5 linked regions of the Ovis aries genome follow. The protein of the gene in region 2 interacts with the protein of the main gene of each other region in a pairwise test. Links are inferred from orthologs where the notes say so. Each region holds a gene or a part of one and is shown on either strand. Other genes may lie near its edges.

Region 1 (2,863 bases), on a different chromosome or scaffold from region 2:
CCAATGACTTATTACAATTTCCCCTTCAAAAGTATTATGGTAACATGAACAAAACAATGTTTCAGCCATCAATGATCTAAAATATGGATGTTCTTGAGCATACATTTTTAGTGAGGGCAACAAAATCTTACCCTTCATGTGTATAAAGCATAAAAATATGTATATGATTCACAGTCTGTATGAAGTATTAAAATTTCATGGGGGTAGATGATTAGGGGAAAAAAAAAAAAACCCTAAAAAGTTTCCTTAGGCAGGTGAGAATGGAAAAATTGAGAAACATGTGTAGATTTTTACCAAGTGAGGAATACTTCAATTCAACTTTCGTGATAGGTCAAAATCCCCAGATGAAACAGAAAACCACAGTGATTGTATTTTCTACCAACGTACTTGTGAGGAGCTCCAGTTTTCTCTTTGCCCTTTATTTCTCCAAGCAGAACTCACTAAAATTGTTCAAGTGTAAAGAAAACCCTAGGAATTTTTTAAAAGGTATACGAGTCATTAAACTTACAACACAGAGTACAAACCAAAAAAGTAAATTTATTTAAATTACTAAAATAGCTTTTAAAGTCATTTACAGATTAGCTGCTACAATTATTTTTCCTGATATAAGTAATATTATTTTAAAATTTTGGTCAATGAAACAGTTAATAAAAACATCTGTTTCTCCATATAATACATATATGTATAAAATAAGCCTTTTCAAAAATTCTTGTTTTAGAATCCTCTATAAATCAAGAATATCTGACTTCTGACAGTGTCAGGAACAGATTATAATAAGGAGTATAAACTTACGAATACTGGTAGTCCTAGTGGGAAGAAATAAGACCATATTCTACCATCAGTTATGGGATCCTCAAAAGGTAAATGAAGAAGCCACTGACAGGCTTTAGTATTCTAAAAGCAATATTGCCATTTAAAGGTTTGTAGACAATAAAAAAATAAAGCTGATCCAGAATTTTAAGATTCTAAGAAAACCAAAGCTGTTGACAGATGAGAAAGCTGTTAAGAGATGCAAAGTTAAAACTGAAATACTATGGTACAGTTATGTACAGCAGTACATCTTAACATCCTTCATATATAGTAAACTTCACTTTCTTTTTGGCTTGAGGCACTCAACAGAATTTATCACATGCATAGCAAATCTTTATACTTGTTACAAGAGTGTCATTAAAGGACGTAGACTGCAACAAATGGACATGCAGAAAATCAAAGCCCTCTTCAGTCACTGAGGAGAGGTCGTTGACAAAGCGGTTTACCAATTTCTGACATTATCTTTCTTAACAAAATTTTCAGGATATGAACAAAATAAACTGCCTGAATTTGCCTGTTCTTAAGCGCCAAGTGAGCAAATATACTAAACCTCATCATATACATGCTTCAGAATCCTTGGGAGGAGTAAAAATTTCTTCAAGGAAAATAAAAGTCCCGACAGAATTCACTGAGAATGGAGTTCATATAGCTATGTTTGATGAACCCCAGGTGACAGTGACTTTTTTTTTAAAAATTTCTGAGTGTGCATGGGGTGGCTTGCAGAACCTTAGCTCCCCAACCAAGGATGGAACCCAGGCCCTTGGCAGTGAGAACATGGAGTCCCACCCACGAGACCATCAAGGAATTCCCCCAGTGACTTATTTTAATATTTCATCTTGAAAACTTTTCCTCCCCTTTCCTTCTCCATTTCACAACTTTTCCCTGTCCTCCAAAATTAAAGAAAAAAAGAAAGAAACACCCAAACAAACACTCAGATGGCCCTTCATTATTTTTGTTCCTATAAGGAGAAGCTGACTAAGGAATTCACATCTAAATGATGAAAAAAGAGAACAAAACAGGAAAGCCCATAGTTGCGCTCAGGGAGCTATCTTACTAATAACAAACTCTGTGAAAAAAAAACCAAGTTAAAACATTAGGGAGGATTTATAGGAAGGAGCCAAATCCCTCCCACTGGTCATACCACAGGAATAATGATTCACTCCAGAATTTAAGTAGATCCTCTATGGGACTGTATATAATTTATAGTCTGTAGATATCATTAACAGATCTCAGTGGGAAATGAGTCTCTCAGGTAACATAATTAGGCTGAATAAACAATACAGATGTTCCATGTTTACCTAAGAACCTAACCTCCTTTAAAAAGAAACCAGGTCTTTCAAAAAGAGCTGAGTGCTGTCTGGTTAGAAAGTTTGAAAAAATTCTCAGCACTTGAGACATAACTTTCTCTTCCGTCTTCCTTTAAAAGCAGATGCCCCTTTTCAGGTCATTTTCAGGTTGTACAGGGAGGACTAAGTGAGAAATACGGCTCCAGAGCCCACTCAGTTTGTCTGGGTCCATATGCTTGTAGGAGCTGGATGTGTCAGAGTTGGTGAACTTGACTTTGAGGAAATCTCTCACTTTTTCTTCAATTTCCTTGAGGCCCAGATTGGTTCCAAGTGTCTCCTCCTCCAATAAGACAGTCAGGACTAAGGCTACATCTTTGAAGGCTGCACTTTCGTGGTCACAATACTTGTAGAAGATCAAAGTAGAGTCTGCAGGCAGTGACTCAAAGCGGTGGACCACAGCTGCTTTCTGGCCATTTCTGAACCCAGTGCTCAGTTCCTGATCTACTTCTTCTTTGACAGTATCACTGTCTCGAGCAGCTTTGCCAGCCCCATCAATCCGGATGGCAGGAACACTACGGAAGGAGGAGTAGGCATCAGCGATCTGTTCGCTCAGACACCTGAGTGCTTCTTCAGCATCTCGGGCAGCAGTGAGCAGCAAAATCGCAGGCTGAGGCCGAGGTTGGGAACCATTGAGATGTTTTTCCAGTAATGTTTGGCTCCTTTTCCACAGCTTCTCATCTTGACCTTGGTACTTATTCATCAGCTGT
Region 2 (4,138 bases):
TGGGCCAGGAATCGCCACAAAACCTTACAGACAGCTCTGCATCCCAACCCAAAGCCTGGCCCTGAACTCTGAGCTCTAATTAAACATTAAACCAGACAACACCTTCTCTCTAGGCTTTAGTGGGAGGAGTTAGGACAATGCCTTTCTTCCTCTCCCAAATTCTTCATGGCGTTCTTCACCTCACCCTGAGCAAAGCAGACACAAAAGGGAGCAACAAATCCTTGCTCCTCCCACTGGGGACATAGAAGGGGACAGAAACCTCAAGTGAGCCCTCTTTGTCTCCGCCCAACCTCCTATCAGCCTAGGATCCAGGTGTGCAAAACCACCCCCCCTCTCCCGGAAGCCCAGCACCCCCAGCCAGGATCAGTGGGGGAGAGGAGAGGCAGGCAGCTAAATATAACAAGTACACACACCACCCCCGGCCCTGTCCCACGTGCGCACACACCCGCCTGGTGTCCCAGACCGGGACAGCTGCACCAGGAGGCAGAGACAGACTGGTGTGGCTGGGTTAGCGAGAGACCATAGACTCCACTCGTTCTGTTCCCTGGTCAAAACCTTCCCCAGAAAAAGACCTGCTAAGAATGCCCTTGGCAGGGACCCGCAAGGTAGTAGTTCGGTAGCTGGGTAAGCTAGTTTGGAAGACTAATTCTCTGGGACTCCCCTAGCTTGCCTCTTGTCTGCCCTGTTAACTAAGTTATTCATATCACTAGTGGACAATGACAGGAATGATCCCTTTCAACAGAAATAGTCACTCTGAGTTCCCTGGTGGCCTAATGGTTAGGATTCCTGGCTTTGGATCCCTGGTCTGATCAGGGAACTGACCCCTGGCAAGCCTGGGCTTGGGGGTGCGGGGGGTGGTGGGGGGGAGAGTCACCTGCCTACCCACACCATTTCCATCTACTCTTCACTAGGGGATGATACATCTGCCACACCCACCATGCCAGGGGCTGGGGGCTAGCGAAGGGGTATAAAGAGTAGCAAATTCACAGCGCTTCTGAGAAGAGCATGAGCCTGGAGAAGACGACGCAAAGGGGAAGAAGAGAAGACCAACCACTACAGCCTCAGCCAGGGGTCTCCAAGCACCTTAGTGCTCTCTGGCTGAGGTCTTCTCAGAAAACAAATCCTTGGGGAGCTGAAGAGGGCCTAAACTTCCCAGCTCCAAAGGCCTTTTCAGAGAAGAGGGAGGAGACAAGTAGGGTGCGGTAGGGTGGGGCAGGGATGGGTAAGGTAGGAGGGGCCTGAGTCTTCCAACGGCTGGATTTCAAAAATGTCACAGTATTCCAGGAGTTTAATAAGGCAAAGAACAATAACAAAAAAAATGTCCCAGTGGCTGAGAGGGCCGGCCAGAGCAGAGGCTGCTAGGCTTGGCCGGGAAAATGAAAGTGGCTCACCCCAAGAAGGGAGGCAGGGAGGGACTAGGCAGAGGGTGAGGGTGGGGAGATGGGGAAGGGGAGGTACAGACCTGGGCATACATAACACAACTTCCTGAGCCGGGAGCCTCTGCCCTCCGTCTCCCTCCCTCCCTTGCATTCCTGGGCCAAGCAGGCCAAGGGCTGTGGGAGCTGCGGGGGAGCGGCTCTCCTAGAGTTGATCGGTGGGCCTGTCAGAGGCCAGGGGAAGTCCCAGACATGCAGGGAGTAAAGGAGCACTTCAAAACTCTTAACAAGAGCCTGGGAAAGGGTTGTGCAGTGGGGGCCATCGCTGTGCCCCTGCAGGGGGAAAAGGGGGTCACCCGGCTTTGGTGACCTCTCTCTGGCACCACTAGACATCTCCCAGCCTAGGAGCTCTGTTTTAGTGGGAGTCATGTCTTCAGAGACAGGCTGGGCAAGGTTGGCACGGTGCCAAGGCTGCCAAGAAAGTTCCAACAGGACCCTCTCACCCACTCCTAAGTGTCTTGGGCGCCTAGATGTCTTAGACCTGGCAAGGCCAGTTCGGCTTTGCTCAAGGCCCTCTCTCAGGCCCCAAATGACTGGCAAATCCCACCCTGACAGATTGCGGGCCTGCCACCAGCTCCTACTTGGCCCTGATGAACCCCGCCATTCCTTATATACCCCACCCTCTCCCAGAGACCTCTCCCTTCTCAGTCCTGTCTTGACAATTTCCCTTGGCACTGCCAGGCACTCGCTGGGGGCAGTTCCGGGAGGGAGGAAACTATACGGCAACGTTACCAACGGCCTGGAGCCCAGGCAGGGGCGGCAGTCCCTCTGCCCTCACTGCCCCTCCCGGCCCCACGCCGCCACCTGGGGCACTCACCGCGCCTTGAGCTCCTTGAACTCCTCTCGCACTTTGCTCAGCTCCAGCTGCAGGCGGGCGCGCTCCTTGGCCACCGAGTCGAGGGTCTTGCGGGCATCCCCCAGCTCGGCTTCGTAGGCGGCCTTTATGCCAGACACCTCGCGGCTGACCACCTCCTCAGACTCAGTGATGCGAAGGCGCAGACCTGCATTCTCCGTTTCCAGCGAGCGCACCCGGTCGATGTAGACAGCCAAGCGGTCATTGAGCTCCTGTAGGTCCTCCTTCTCCTGCAGCCGGGTGATGCGGGTGGGTGACAGCGGGGTGGAGCTGGCCTGCGCCCCGCTGCGGGTGGCGCGCCGCTGGGACGGGGTCTCCATGGCCGGCAGGGTGGCAGCACTGCCCGAGGGGCAGAGGTCCCGGGAAGGACGCGGGGCTCAGGCCGAAGGACAGAGACTGCTGGGGTAGGAGCGCGCCGGCCGGCTGGCTCTCGGCTGGCTCCTGGCAGGCTTGTGGATCTGGGCCGGGCGCTGTCAGACCTCTGGATCTCGGTTGGCCGGTGTGGATGCGGAGCTCCCGCGAACACTCTGAGTCACCGGCTCCCGGGCAAAGGCTCTAATAGGTCTAGGGAATGGGAGGAGGGGCCACTCTCTTAAAGGGGCCGTCGCTAACCCACAGGGGTGGGAGAGGGAGGGGTGAGCAGGGGAGACGACAGCCCCGGGGTAGGGCCCCACCCTCCCTCAGGCACCCCCACGTGCCTGGGGCTTCCCTGAAGCTCGTCTCTAGGTCTCTACCTGCTCAGCGATCCAAGCTAAAAGCTTGCCCCCACTGCCTTTGGCCTTAGAGGGGGAAATGGGCAGAGCCAAGGGGTGAGGCTGGGTGGGCAAAGGGCAGGGGGAAGAGGGGCAGTAGGCACAAAGCAAGGGAGGGCGCCAGGCAGGCAGATCCAGGAAAGTGGGGGGAGGCTGAGGCTGGTGCCCATGAGGGTGACTCACTCTTCCACCACTGGCCCCCCTTTTCCTCCCCATAGTAATAGTGAGTCACCCCTACTCCCCCACCCCCCACCTCCATGAGTGGGCAGTCCATTCAAAGCCACATCTCAGTATGCCAGGGTGGGGTGGGGAAATATGCCTGGGTTCCCTGGGGTGGTTGGAGGGAGAGCTGCCACAAAGTTCTGGATCCTGAGTTCCTTTTACACCCTCAAATTCAGGGTGGGGACCAGAGTTTGGGGTTATTCTTTTCCTATTTTCTGCCCCAGTTTAATCTCCCTTTGAAATCAACCATTGGATCGTAGACCCAAAGAACAACCCCGAGGCCCCAGAAAAGGTCAAGAATAGGACCCAAGTACTGCCCACCCCATCCCCTTCCTTTGGACCCCAGCAGTCAGAAAAAGAGCCTGCCTGAGGTTCCTCCCAGCTTTGGTCCCTTTCTAGTCCTCAGCCCAGCCCAGCCCAGCCCACCAACCCCAGAACTGTACTTATTTTTTTTTCCAGGACTGTACTTATTTTAATGGATAATTTAAAACAGATACCAGAGCTGTGCATGCGTTCATCACATTGCCAGGACACCAGGTCCCAAATTTTTGTGGTTCCCAAAGGGGCCTGAAAGGGGGAGCAGGGCTGGGGGCTGGACAGCCAATTTTGGGTCTCTATCCTGGTTTCAGCCAGAAAAGGGGGGTGATGGGGGTGAAGACAGCAAAGGCGCCCATAGCCTTGCTGACTGCTGGGCCAGCACCGCACTTATCTCCACATTCCTCTCTGACCAGGTCTGCTTTGCCACTGGCTCCGGGGAGGGGCCAGGCCCTCTCACAAAACAGGATCATCCACGTCCCTGAGCTTCCATCCTCAGGACTCTCGGGAGACCCCTTTAATCAGCCTCCTACTCCCCATTCCCATCCGGGCCCCGGCCC
Region 3 (3,539 bases), on a different chromosome or scaffold from region 2:
AAACATTGCCAGTAAGAGTGTTAATTGATCCAAGCTTTATTAGAGGGCAATTTGACAATATATATCAAAATTACAAATATATATATAACCTTTGACGTAGTAATTCCACCTAGAAGGAATTTATGCTACAGATATATTCACACATATGGTTATTTATCACAGCACTATTTGTTATACTAAAAGAGTGGGGCCAACTTAAATGTTATTAGCAGGAGAAAGCTAAGTTCACTGCATGATATAGCCATATTGTTGTTGCTGTTGTTTAGTTACTAAGTCGTGTCCAACTCTTTTGTGACCCCATGGACTGTAGCTCACCAGGCTTCTCTGCCCATGGGATCTCCCAGGCAAGAATACTAGAGTGGGTTGCCATTTCCTTCTCCAAGGGATCTTCCTGTCTCAGGGATTGAACCCTTGTCTCCTGCACTGGCAGGTAGATTCTTTATCATTGAGCCACCTGGGGAGCCTGATATAGCTGTATATTTTAAAATTAAGCAGCTGTTAAGAAATAAAAAATGCAAGGTTCTTTAATCTTAGTGATAGAGGAAAATATATTTGAATATGAGAAATATACATATATGGTTAAAAATCTCTAGGACACCCAAGAAACTAGTAACAGTGACAACCTATTTCAAAACAGAGGTAAGGAGACCAAATGGCTAGGGTAATTGAGTGGCAGCATATCTTTTCACTGGGTAACTTTAGGTTATTACTTTTCTCAACCATGTGAATTTTCACCTGTTTTTAAAAAGTAAGTGAAAAAACAGAGAAAGTAGAAATAAGGAAGGTACATTCTTTCACCCCTTCACCCACTTTGAACATTTTGCCACATCTGCTTTATTACTCCTTCTCTTTATAAGAGTAATATATATGTGTGTATGTATACGCACATATGGGCTCTTCCCTGGTGGCTCAGATGGTAAAGCGTCTGCCTACAATGTGGGAGACCTGGGTTTGATCCCTGGGTTGGGAAGATCTCCTGGAAAAGGAAATGGCAACCCACTCCAGTACTCTTGCCTGGAAAATCCTATGGACAGAGGAGCCTTGTAGGCTACTGTCCATGGGGTCACAAAGAGTCGGACACGACTGAGTGACTTCACTCACTCACTCATACGCACATATATGTATTCGTCCCTGAACCGTCTGAAAGTTAGCTGAAGAGATCATGGGGCAAAGGTTTATTTACTGAAGGACACAGAATAAATTGCAAGACAGTGGTATTGTCTGGTAGGATAAAGGCTATACATAGGAAGGAAGTCAGTATAGAGGAAAATAACTATCAGAAGGACTAAACTAAGTGATTTCAAATAAAATACAGCCAGGATTTAGAGAGTATTAACATAAAGAGAAAAAAAGAGTTGCAGAGTGATAAACCAGGCTGCCTCAGGTCTATGCATGAGCCGTCAGAGCTCTTGAGAGACCTTCCTGACTTCAGTGCTCACAAACAGCACAAAGAACAAAAGAGTCCCAGGGTCCTATGTTGGCCCCCGTCTTCCCCTTCCTCCCAAGATGGGTCTTCCTTCTTTACCTTGCTTCTGTTGGGCTGCAAGTTCTGCAGATTCACACTTTGGCTGGGCTTGCACAGATGGAAGGCATATTCTGGATTCTTGTTCTGTTCTTAGAGGTACAATCTCCTGTAAGAACATTTCCTGTTCCTCAGTGCGGACTGAGACCTGAGGTAAATGAGATATAGCTTAGAACCTCACCCTGGTAACATTAAACAAGAATATACTATCTAGGGCAGTGGCACCCAGCTCTCTGAAACTTGAAACAAACTTCTTTCCATGTAACAGCCTGCCACAATCCTACTCAAGGCCAATACAAATGTCACCTCTTCTGGGAAACCTTCGCTTCCCCAGTTGGAAATAATTTCCCCTATCTTAACAGTTAAAGCATATTAAATGTACCACTTTTACATTTCTGTCTATGCTCAAAGAAATAGAGAAGTGACAAAGAGAAGGAAAAGAAGGTAAAAAGAGGCAGAGGCAGAAAGGAGTGGAAAAGAATTAATGCGGAAATAAGACAGAAGTGAGAAAGAAGGAAAGGAAGGGGGAAAAGTAAAGGGAAATAATGAGAGAAATTATAAAGAAAGACAGAAGGGAACAAAGGAGAAAGAGAAAGAAAAGAAAGAGGGTATGAGAAGGAAAGAGGAAAGGAAAAAGAGAAATCTCTCATATTCCTAATAGACAATGCTCTTCTGAGGTCCCCATCCCCATTCTTTCTGGGAAGATGATCTTGTTTTCTATTTCTCCAAGATCACGACCATCTCAAAAAAAAACTCTTATTCACTTTACCTATCTCCACTCTCTTACTCTTCTCCTTTCCTTCTATCTTAGAGGAAGAAGTCTTTTCTTTTTCAAGGCTTGTATCTCTACTTTTGCCTTCAATCTCATCCCTTTCTGCTTCCCTTTGATCCTTGCTCCTTCAATTAACTCATTTACTCAGCAATTTCAACCACTCGTAGCTTGCATTCCTCCATGGGCCCATTGCCTCTTGCACTTAAAACAAAAACAAAAAAAAAAAAAAAGAAGAAGAAAAGGTTTCCCCAGCATGGTAGTATAAAAACAGGAATCGGAATCTAATTTCCTTACTCTGTTTCTTAGTTTAGTATCGATAGCTGTCACCTTGGGCTAGGAATTATTCTGAGATTATATGACATCATGCATGTAAAGCACCTCACACAGGCATTGGCATGTGATAGGCCCTCAAATTACTTCCCCATGCCTCTTCAATAGCTTGTCTGGTGGCTCAGACTGTAAAGAATCTACCTGCAATGCAGGAGAACTGGGTTCAATCCCTGAATCAGGAGGATTCCATGGAGAAGGGAATGGTAACCCACTCCAATATTCTTGCCTGGAAAATCTCATGGAGAGAGGACACTGGCTATAGTCCATGGGGTCACAATGAGTCAGACATGACCGAGCAACTAACACACACACACACATACCCTTCAATGGCTAAAGTTTGTAAATAAAAAATTACCATACACTGACACTATTTCTCTGACAGTTTCATTTTGTAATCTTTCTCTCAGAATAAGAGCCAAAATCAGCATAATACTATCTCAAATGTACAGAAAAAGATGTTTTGATACTTCAAATTTTGGGGTGTGTGCGCTCAGTCACTCAGTCCTGTTCAACTCTTTGCAGCACCATGGAAATAGTCCAGCAGGCTCCCCTGTCCATGGTATCTTCCAGACAAAAATACTGGAGCTGGTTGCCATATCCTCCCCTAGGAGACCTTCCCAACCCAGGGATTGAACACAAGTCTCCCGAATCTCTTATATTGCAGGCAGATTCTTTACCACCAGCACCACCTGAGAAGCCCTCAAATTTGGCGGAGAAGGGAGCAAAAAAAGCCCAGTACAGTGAACTGTGCCTTCTGTCCCTGGATCTTTGACTAGGCCTTATAAACCACTAGCTACCCACAGCAAGCCTCAAAGGAAAGGACTGGTTGGCAATACAAATTCATCATGACTAAAACCAAGTTACTTGCTGCCTGCACCTAGGAATCCCTTTCTTCCTTTTGGTTCTCTTCCTACC
Region 4 (3,539 bases), on a different chromosome or scaffold from region 2:
TGTCTCTGGCATCTCATGGAAGATAACTACCTAGAAATTTCAAGATTGGTCCTTGATGAACAATAGCTGTGCTTCCATTATAGTTAAATGCAGATCTCTACATTCACTGCCTTATATCTCTTTCTCAAGTAGCTGGATGTGCTTGGCAGGACTTATACCCAAATTGTTCACTTATTGAACTGATAAGTCTTAAGCGCATACTCTGTCCCAAGCAGTGTAACAGGTACTGGGGCTACAAAAATGAACCAAATAGGCAGTTACTGAGCTTTCTGACAATGCATTTAATTTGCAGAAACCGGACTAAGAATAAACTATTTTTAAGTTAAATATTACTTTTATTTATATTATGTTGTCTTCTAATTTTGTGAGTACTCAAGCCCACAAATGGAAGGAATGTTGCTACAAGCCTTAAACTTAAAAACTTTAGACTTGAATGATTCTGAGAACTTGTTATTTTCTACAGTGTCTAATGAAATTTTCAAAAATTGTAAAATTCTCAAGAATACATTATTTTTAAATCTTTTTTTTTAAACTAGTGTTCAGAATCAGGTGGATGAAGTCATTGATGTCATGCAAGAAAATATTACAAAGGTAATAGAAAGAGGGGAGAGACTAGATGAACTACAGGACAAATCAGGTACAGATACCTCATATATTTCTTGAAATTCTTAATCTGTATTTTGATAGTGTACTTCTCCCATTTTTTTAGCCAAAGTTTAGAAATCTTGTCTTAGGAAAAATGGTATTTATGGTTTTAGTGTTTTAACTTTAGCTTCCTTTACTTTTTTAAAAAATTATTTTATTCAAGTATAGTTGATTTATGTGTTAATTTCTACTATACAGCATTTATATATACACACATATATATACATTTTCATATTCTTTTCCATTATGGTTTATTCCAGGATATTGATTATAGCTTGCTGTGCTACACACTAGGACCTTGTTGTTTATTCATCTTATATATAATGTTTTGTATCTGCTAATCCCAAACTCCCAATCCATCCTTTCCCACTGCCTCCCACCCACTGCCCACCGTAGGCAACCACAAGTCAGATTTCTACTTAGGTCTTCCCTCCATTTTCCAATTGGGTTGTTTGAAACTTCATTGTTAAGTTGTATATATTAGCTCCCTTCAGTTTGAAACATCTTATTGTTGTATTATTGCTTTAATTGATTGGTTGAGAATGGAAAAATTAAAAATTCATTATTGAAGAATTAGAGTATTTTTTTCTTTTGTCCTGTTATGTTGATGTACTTTGTATCTCTCCTGATCTCATGAAAAATAGGCCTAATCACTTCTATTCAAACTTATTTCAAACTTATCCAGGGTATTTATCTCATGCTTTGCCTGGTGACTTAGTAACCTTTCTGTACTGACAGATGTTAGTCTCTATTCTTTTAACTGTTCCTGGCACTTATTAGGTACTCACATATTGTTTAAATGATGAATGGCTGAATGACTGTCTGATTAGTCCTTCACAGACTTGTTTAACAAAAAAAATTATTCAACCACTTTTAAAATTCATACTGTTTTGCTTCAGAATCACTTTTGATATCATCTAAGAATCTGCTTTCTCCACTTGTAGATTTTTTCTATAGTTGTGCCAGGTATTTGAGTTTCTAAAGAGTATTTTCTAACAGAATTCATAAGTTTATTGAAAGCACTGAGACCCTAGAAGACCTCTCTTACTCTTATCATAAAAGTGGATTGAGCAAACTGACCTGCAGCCACTTTTTCCTTTTTTTTTTTTTTTAAGAATACAGAATACCAGAGTTTGTGGGTGGAGGAAAGGAAAGATGTTGTTTTCATGCTTAAAGGGGAATAAATTTGCAGAAGTAGAAATTAATATTTTCTTGTCTTTGTGTGACTAGATAAAAGAATCCTGTTATGTCGTTTAATCCTTCTCTCCATCCTCTATGTGATATAGAAAGCTTATCGGATAATGCAACTGCTTTTAGCAACAGATCCAAACAGCTTCGAAGGCAAATGTGGTGGCGTGGATGCAAAGTAAGTAAATCAGAAAATGCTGGATAGGTTGGCCAGCATATCCAGTGGTGATCAAAGGCATAAAGGAAAAAGGGCCTCTAGATTATCAGCTCTGTAAGGACAGGGGCTACAACTCTCTTGCTCATTATTACATATTCTGAGCCTGAGACATGGTGGAACTCTGAATATTTGTAGAATTATTATCTTTTGGGCTAGAAATAACTAAAGGAATCAAGCAGTGCCTGAAAGGATGTTTTCATGGGTTTCTTCGTAGAGAATAAACCACATTTTATTAATAATTTAGCTTCCTCTAGACTTATAAGAAATATTAACTTATAATTTATTATTAGTACCTTTTTGGAGCAACCTATACCATTATATACAGATGTTTAGAAAGTAGAATGCAAGCTAGAGAAAAATACAATTTTCCTGTTGGAAAGGAGGACAAAAATAAAAGCAATTGAATGTGTCAGAATTCATATGGCAAATGGGGGGGCTAAAAAAAATCCCACTGTCCCTCATTATTCTAGAGTCTTCTGCCATACGACCCTGAACCCATCTGCCTGATCTCAGAAGCTGGGCAAGGTCAGGGGCCTGGTTGTACTTGGATAAGAGGAATAAGAAGTAAAACATTTTAACAAGGAAAAAATTAGGAATCATTATATGCTGATATATTCCTGCAAAACATCTTATGGAAATGAATTTACTTCTTAAATCAAGTATGGCTACTGCTTATCAAGCAGAAAAATGTTTCTCTCAAGATTTTATAGAAAATTTCATGTCATATGAGCATATCTCATCTTTTTCCTCCTGATACTTTGTATCATTTTAAAGTCTCTCATTTTCCAGTTTAGGAATAACTTTCAAAACATGATGTTGACATATGCTGAGGATTTCTTCCAAGAGTTTCATTAGATTTACTTCTTTTTGTCTGTGTACCTGTTGAATCCTCTTATTTTCAGAAATAGAACTTAGGGGAAGATACAAGTTTCATTGCTCCTCTTGTCTAGAATTTAAATTTTCTGGGTTTTTTAAATGAGTAAATTTTCTATCTCTATACAAATGTTCTGTTCTGGAAATTAGTTTGGTGGAACAAAAAGTCAATGAGCCATTAACCTCCTCTCCCCATACATACACATGACTCATTCACATGGCCATTAATAAAATGATAATGTACATTTTGTGTAGCTTTTTTTAACCATAGCTATAGATTTTCATTTTGTACTTTATGGGGTCCAGATCAAAGAAATAGCATGCTTTTAAGGGGAAAAATTAGAGTATATTTTTAATTTATATTTTTAATAGTCTCTACATCACTGCCATTTTCTGGTTTAACTTCAGAGTTATTATTTAGGAAGGACTAAGAAAAGGGCTATAGAAATGGAAAAGAGATTAGAAGTTGCCACTGGCTAAGGGTCGAGGAGTAGAGATTGACTACAGCAGGGTATGAGGGCACTTTCTGAGTGATAAAGTGTCTTATGTTCAACTGCGATTGACAACTAGATGTCAAAATGCATCAAAATGAACTCTAAAAGGGTGAGTTTTATTG
Region 5 (3,539 bases), on a different chromosome or scaffold from region 2:
TAGAGCGCGCGGATCTCGGGCGTGATGGTGTCGATCTGGACTCCCACCCCGTCGGGGTGCACCCACGACAGGCCAGGCCCTTGCACCAGAGTGGGCTCCAGTCCCGGCCCGAGCCGGCGAGCGTGAGAGAAGGACCAGATGGTGCCGGGCATGAAGCGGGCCGACGAGGAGTAGGCGGTGGAGGCGGAGGTGGAGGGCGCTGGCTGGCAGGCCGCGGACGGCGCGAGGGGGCCGGCCGGTGAGCGCGCGGGCGAGCCCAGGACCCGCGCCGATGGGGTGCAGACGGCGGCCGTCCGGGAGCCCAGGGGCAGCCCCAGGGGTCGGACGGGGCTGACGAAGCCGGTCTGCACGGCCTGGTCGCGGCGAGGCAGGCCCCGCCGGCCCTGCTTACCCTCCTCCAGCGCCTGCTGCAGCTGCTTCTCCAGCAGTCGGTTGCGGCGCTCCAGCTCGTGCACCTTGGCCAGGAAACAGCGGAAGCGGAGGTTGAGGGTCTTGAGCACGTTGATGTTGGAGCCCAGGTCGTTGCGGAGGGCCATGGCGGCGGGGGGCGCCGGGCCCGGCCCCGGCGGCGAGTAGGGAGCCGGGCCGGTCGGGGCGAGCGGCGCCGGGGGCACGTCCCCGCCGCCGGCCAAGTGGTCGCCTCCCAAGGGGTCCCCCAGCGGCCCGGCCAGGCCCTGCTGCTCCTGCTGGAGGAGGAAGAGGTTGGGGCCGAATAACGGATTCATGGCTGCGCCTTCTGCTGGGAGACAGAAACCCGTGCGGGAGCAGGGATGTTGGGCGAGGGAGGAGAGCCAATGAGACGCCAGGGGGACGCGGAACAGCCAATCAGACGGCTCGACGGGAGGGGCAGAGGTCATGGGGGCGGGGGAGGGCAGGGGGTAAGCCAATGAAAGGCTCGTTCGAAGGCTGGCACCTGGACAGACCTTTCCGGGTCTGGGGCTGAGCCCTGAGCCCAGCGGACCCCGGAATCCAGACAGCGGCTGAGTGACTGAAACCCAGGTCCTCCAGTACTGCGTAGTTCTGGTAGCACGAAATCCATCTACATCCCTATTGCCCTGCTCCCTCCTAAGTCCAAACACCCAGTTCTGACTCCATGAATCTCCTTCCCTGGGTTCCCCGGAACTGACCTGATTTCTCAGTGCACTGCATTGTCCCCTCTTCTGAGGTTCCCTATCTCACCCTCCCTCCTCTGCTCTTTTAAGCAGCAAAGCCAGTACCCACCCCCAAAAAACACACAGTGGCCAGGGACTGTAAAACATGTATTAAATTTCACATCCATGGTTGGGAAGCCATCCTCACAGAGGAGAGTTCCAGCCCTGCAACAATGGCAGTCTAATTCAACCATCCACTGAAGTCAGCGCAGGCTGGAGGCTGCCTCTGGACTGAGATTTTCTCCTCTTTGCTGGCGGGGGCCGGCTGGAACTGCGGGAGGACACGGTGGGAGTCTTTAGTCCCTTGGGGGTGCCATCCCGTTTCTGGAAGGCAGCTTTCTTGAAAGGCTGCTCTGCCACCTGATGCTTAACCTTCTCAGCCCCTGTGGTGTTTCCAAAGGGCTGGTCACGGTCCTCAGGCTTGGGTGTGGCCTGAGTCTTGGAGAGGGATGGTGCTGCAGGCAAGTCTGTGTCCATGGTCTTGGGAGGAGCACGCTGCTTCCGGAAGGCAGCTTTCCTGGAGGACTGCAGTTTGGGTGACTGTTGCTTTAGCTTCCCAGCCTCCTTCGGTTCCCTGACCACTGCTGCTGTTTCGGGCGGCTGACTACTGTCCTGGAGCTTGGAGGACGCCTGGGCCTTTGTGACAGCAGACACAGTGGACAATTCTGTGTCCGTCCCTTTGGAGATGCCATTCTGCTTCTGGAAGGAAGACTTCTTGGGATGCTGCTGTTTCTGCAGCCGTTGCTTTGCCTGACCAGCCTTCTTGGTAGACGGGCTGCCACTCTCAGACTTGGGGGTCACCTGCCCATTCACGTTGGGCAAGTCTGGGTTTGTGGGGGTGGATGTCGCAGAATTTCCTGTGGTTAAAATTAAACAGTTTGAGAAATAAGGCCTCATCACTGGGTCACGATCATCAGTGGAGCAGAAAAAGCAGAGATATTAAAGTAAGGAGACTTCCTGGGTGCCACCTCCTGGCCAAGTGTCCCACACAACAGGGGCAGTACCTAGGAGCAGATCACCTAGATTCAGATTACTTAGTTTCACCTAGCCTCTACTCAAGTCGTATTTGCAATCTGTAATAAAGAGAAGATACCATTACCCATCCATGGGCCAAAAGGTTTTCAGAGGAAGCTGTGCCCCTTGGGGGCCAGCAGGAGGTGAATCCTGAACAAACTTGAAGCACTGGGCTTCTTCTTTAATCAGAAAAGATGTTTTCTTCCATGCAGCTTTTGATGAGATGCAGACAAATAAGGCACACAGAGTAACTAAAGACAAGCTAGTCTTCATGAATGAAGACTGACATAGTCAATATGTATCTTTTAAGTTACAGCAAAAAATATATATATATAGGGTACTTTGCTGCTTCTTGAAGAGATGTGTTAACATTCAAATGTGACTCATGTTAAGAGGCATTGTTTATAGAGAAAAGTCACCAAGTTTGTGTGCAAAGAAGTCCACCTCTCCCTCGTGCAACTAAGCCTAGGGTGACATCCCAGGAGGCAGAGCCCTCAGGTTTGTTTCAGAAAACCCCACCCTGGCCTTTATGGCCCAGTCCAAACTCCCCAAGACAGCCAAGAAAACCATCTGCAATTAGTGAGACTGCAAAGAACTGATGTTCTGAGGAGTCCTGCGCCAGCCCAGTGCTGAGGCTGAGATCTGTTACCAGGAAGGCCACCCCCGGCCAAGAAACCACACCCCTGCTGGAGAGCATTCACTGCTGACAACTGCAGCCACCTGGCACAACTGAGCAAAGGGCTCGATCCACACAAACCCTTTAACATACCCAACTGGGGTTCAGGCATGGGACCAGTTCTAGCTGGAATGAAAAGGATCTCTCACCCCAGCATTCAAGGGTAAGCCAGGGGGGCAAGGACCACCCTTCCCTGCAGCCACACCTTTCCCTGCAGCCACACCTTTCCCTGCAGCCACACCCTTCCCTGCAGCCTCTGGAGGGGGAAAGAGCAAAGGTGGAGATGAAGAGAGCAAAAAGCAGATCACTTACCCGTTTGGGACTGGGGGATAGAATTGGAGAATTTCTTGAACTTGGCAATAAAGAAGCCATCCATGTTGTGGGTGTGAGGGTAGAAGCGGCGGGTGGAGCGCAGCGTGGGGTGGAAGCGCCTTTCCCGGAAGCGGGTGAAGCCCTCCTGGCCGAAATCCAGGCCAGTGGGCACCAGGCGCACGTTTCTCTTTTTCAGGGCGTAGTCCACCACCCACTCGTTCTCCTCCACCTAACATGTAGGGGAGACGGAAGGAAAGCAGAGCTGGAGTTGAAGGGGCGCTGAGGGCATGACAGCCCCAGGCTAGCTCCCTCCCGCGCCCCAACAGGCCTCACCATGATGGAGCAGGTGCAGTAGACGAGATAGCCCCCCGTCTTGGAGCTGGCGT

Evidence for each region. The genes of interacting proteins can lie anywhere in the genome.
Region 1: the proteins of LMNA (region 2) and TOR1AIP1 interact in a two-hybrid assay, tested with the Homo sapiens proteins (2 studies listed by BioGRID). The link is inferred for Ovis aries from reciprocal best matches to the Homo sapiens genes LMNA and TOR1AIP1.
Region 3: the proteins of LMNA (region 2) and ZSCAN12 interact in binary tests that used the Homo sapiens proteins (3 or more experiments, as listed by UniProt). The link is inferred for Ovis aries from reciprocal best matches to the Homo sapiens genes LMNA and ZSCAN12.
Region 4: the proteins of LMNA (region 2) and VAMP4 interact in a two-hybrid assay, tested with the Homo sapiens proteins (2 studies listed by BioGRID and IntAct, with this or other methods). The link is inferred for Ovis aries from reciprocal best matches to the Homo sapiens genes LMNA and VAMP4.
Region 5: the proteins of LMNA (region 2) and IFFO1 interact in binary tests that used the Homo sapiens proteins (3 or more experiments, as listed by UniProt). The link is inferred for Ovis aries from reciprocal best matches to the Homo sapiens genes LMNA and IFFO1.

What each region holds. Positions count from the first base shown.
Region 1 is NC_056065.1:60,524,988-60,527,850, reverse strand, and holds the end of TOR1AIP1 (torsin-1A-interacting protein 1), read right to left. Parts: coding exon 2,230-2,863; 3' UTR 518-2,229; downstream 1-517. UniProt on the Homo sapiens protein: Required for nuclear membrane integrity. Induces TOR1A and TOR1B ATPase activity and is required for their location on the nuclear membrane. Binds to A- and B-type lamins. Possible role in membrane attachment and assembly of the nuclear lamina.
Region 2 is NC_056054.1:106,135,998-106,140,135, reverse strand, and holds the start of LMNA (lamin), read right to left. Parts: upstream 2,819-4,138; 5' UTR 2,610-2,818; coding exon 2,254-2,609; intron 1-2,253.
Region 3 is NC_056073.1:29,395,644-29,399,182, reverse strand, and holds part of ZSCAN12 (zinc finger and SCAN domain-containing protein 12), read right to left. Parts: intron 1,671-3,539; coding exon 1,526-1,670; intron 1-1,525. UniProt on the Homo sapiens protein: May be involved in transcriptional regulation.
Region 4 is NC_056065.1:38,427,032-38,430,570, reverse strand, and holds part of VAMP4 (vesicle-associated membrane protein 4), read left to right. Parts: intron 1-536; coding exon 537-637; intron 638-1,931; coding exon 1,932-2,011; intron 2,012-3,539. UniProt on the Homo sapiens protein: Involved in the pathway that functions to remove an inhibitor (probably synaptotagmin-4) of calcium-triggered exocytosis during the maturation of secretory granules.
Region 5 is NC_056056.1:209,688,638-209,692,176, reverse strand, and holds part of IFFO1 (non-homologous end joining factor IFFO1), read right to left. Parts: coding exon of another isoform or gene 3,487-3,539; 5' UTR 3,383-3,486; coding exon of another isoform or gene 3,154-3,382; 5' UTR 2,009-3,153; coding exon of another isoform or gene 1,338-2,008; 5' UTR 858-1,337; coding exon 1-857. Other genes in the region: NOP2 (probable 28S rRNA (cytosine(4447)-C(5))-methyltransferase), read right to left, coding at 1,338-2,008, 3,154-3,382, 3,487-3,539. UniProt on the Homo sapiens protein: Nuclear matrix protein involved in the immobilization of broken DNA ends and the suppression of chromosome translocation during DNA double-strand breaks (DSBs).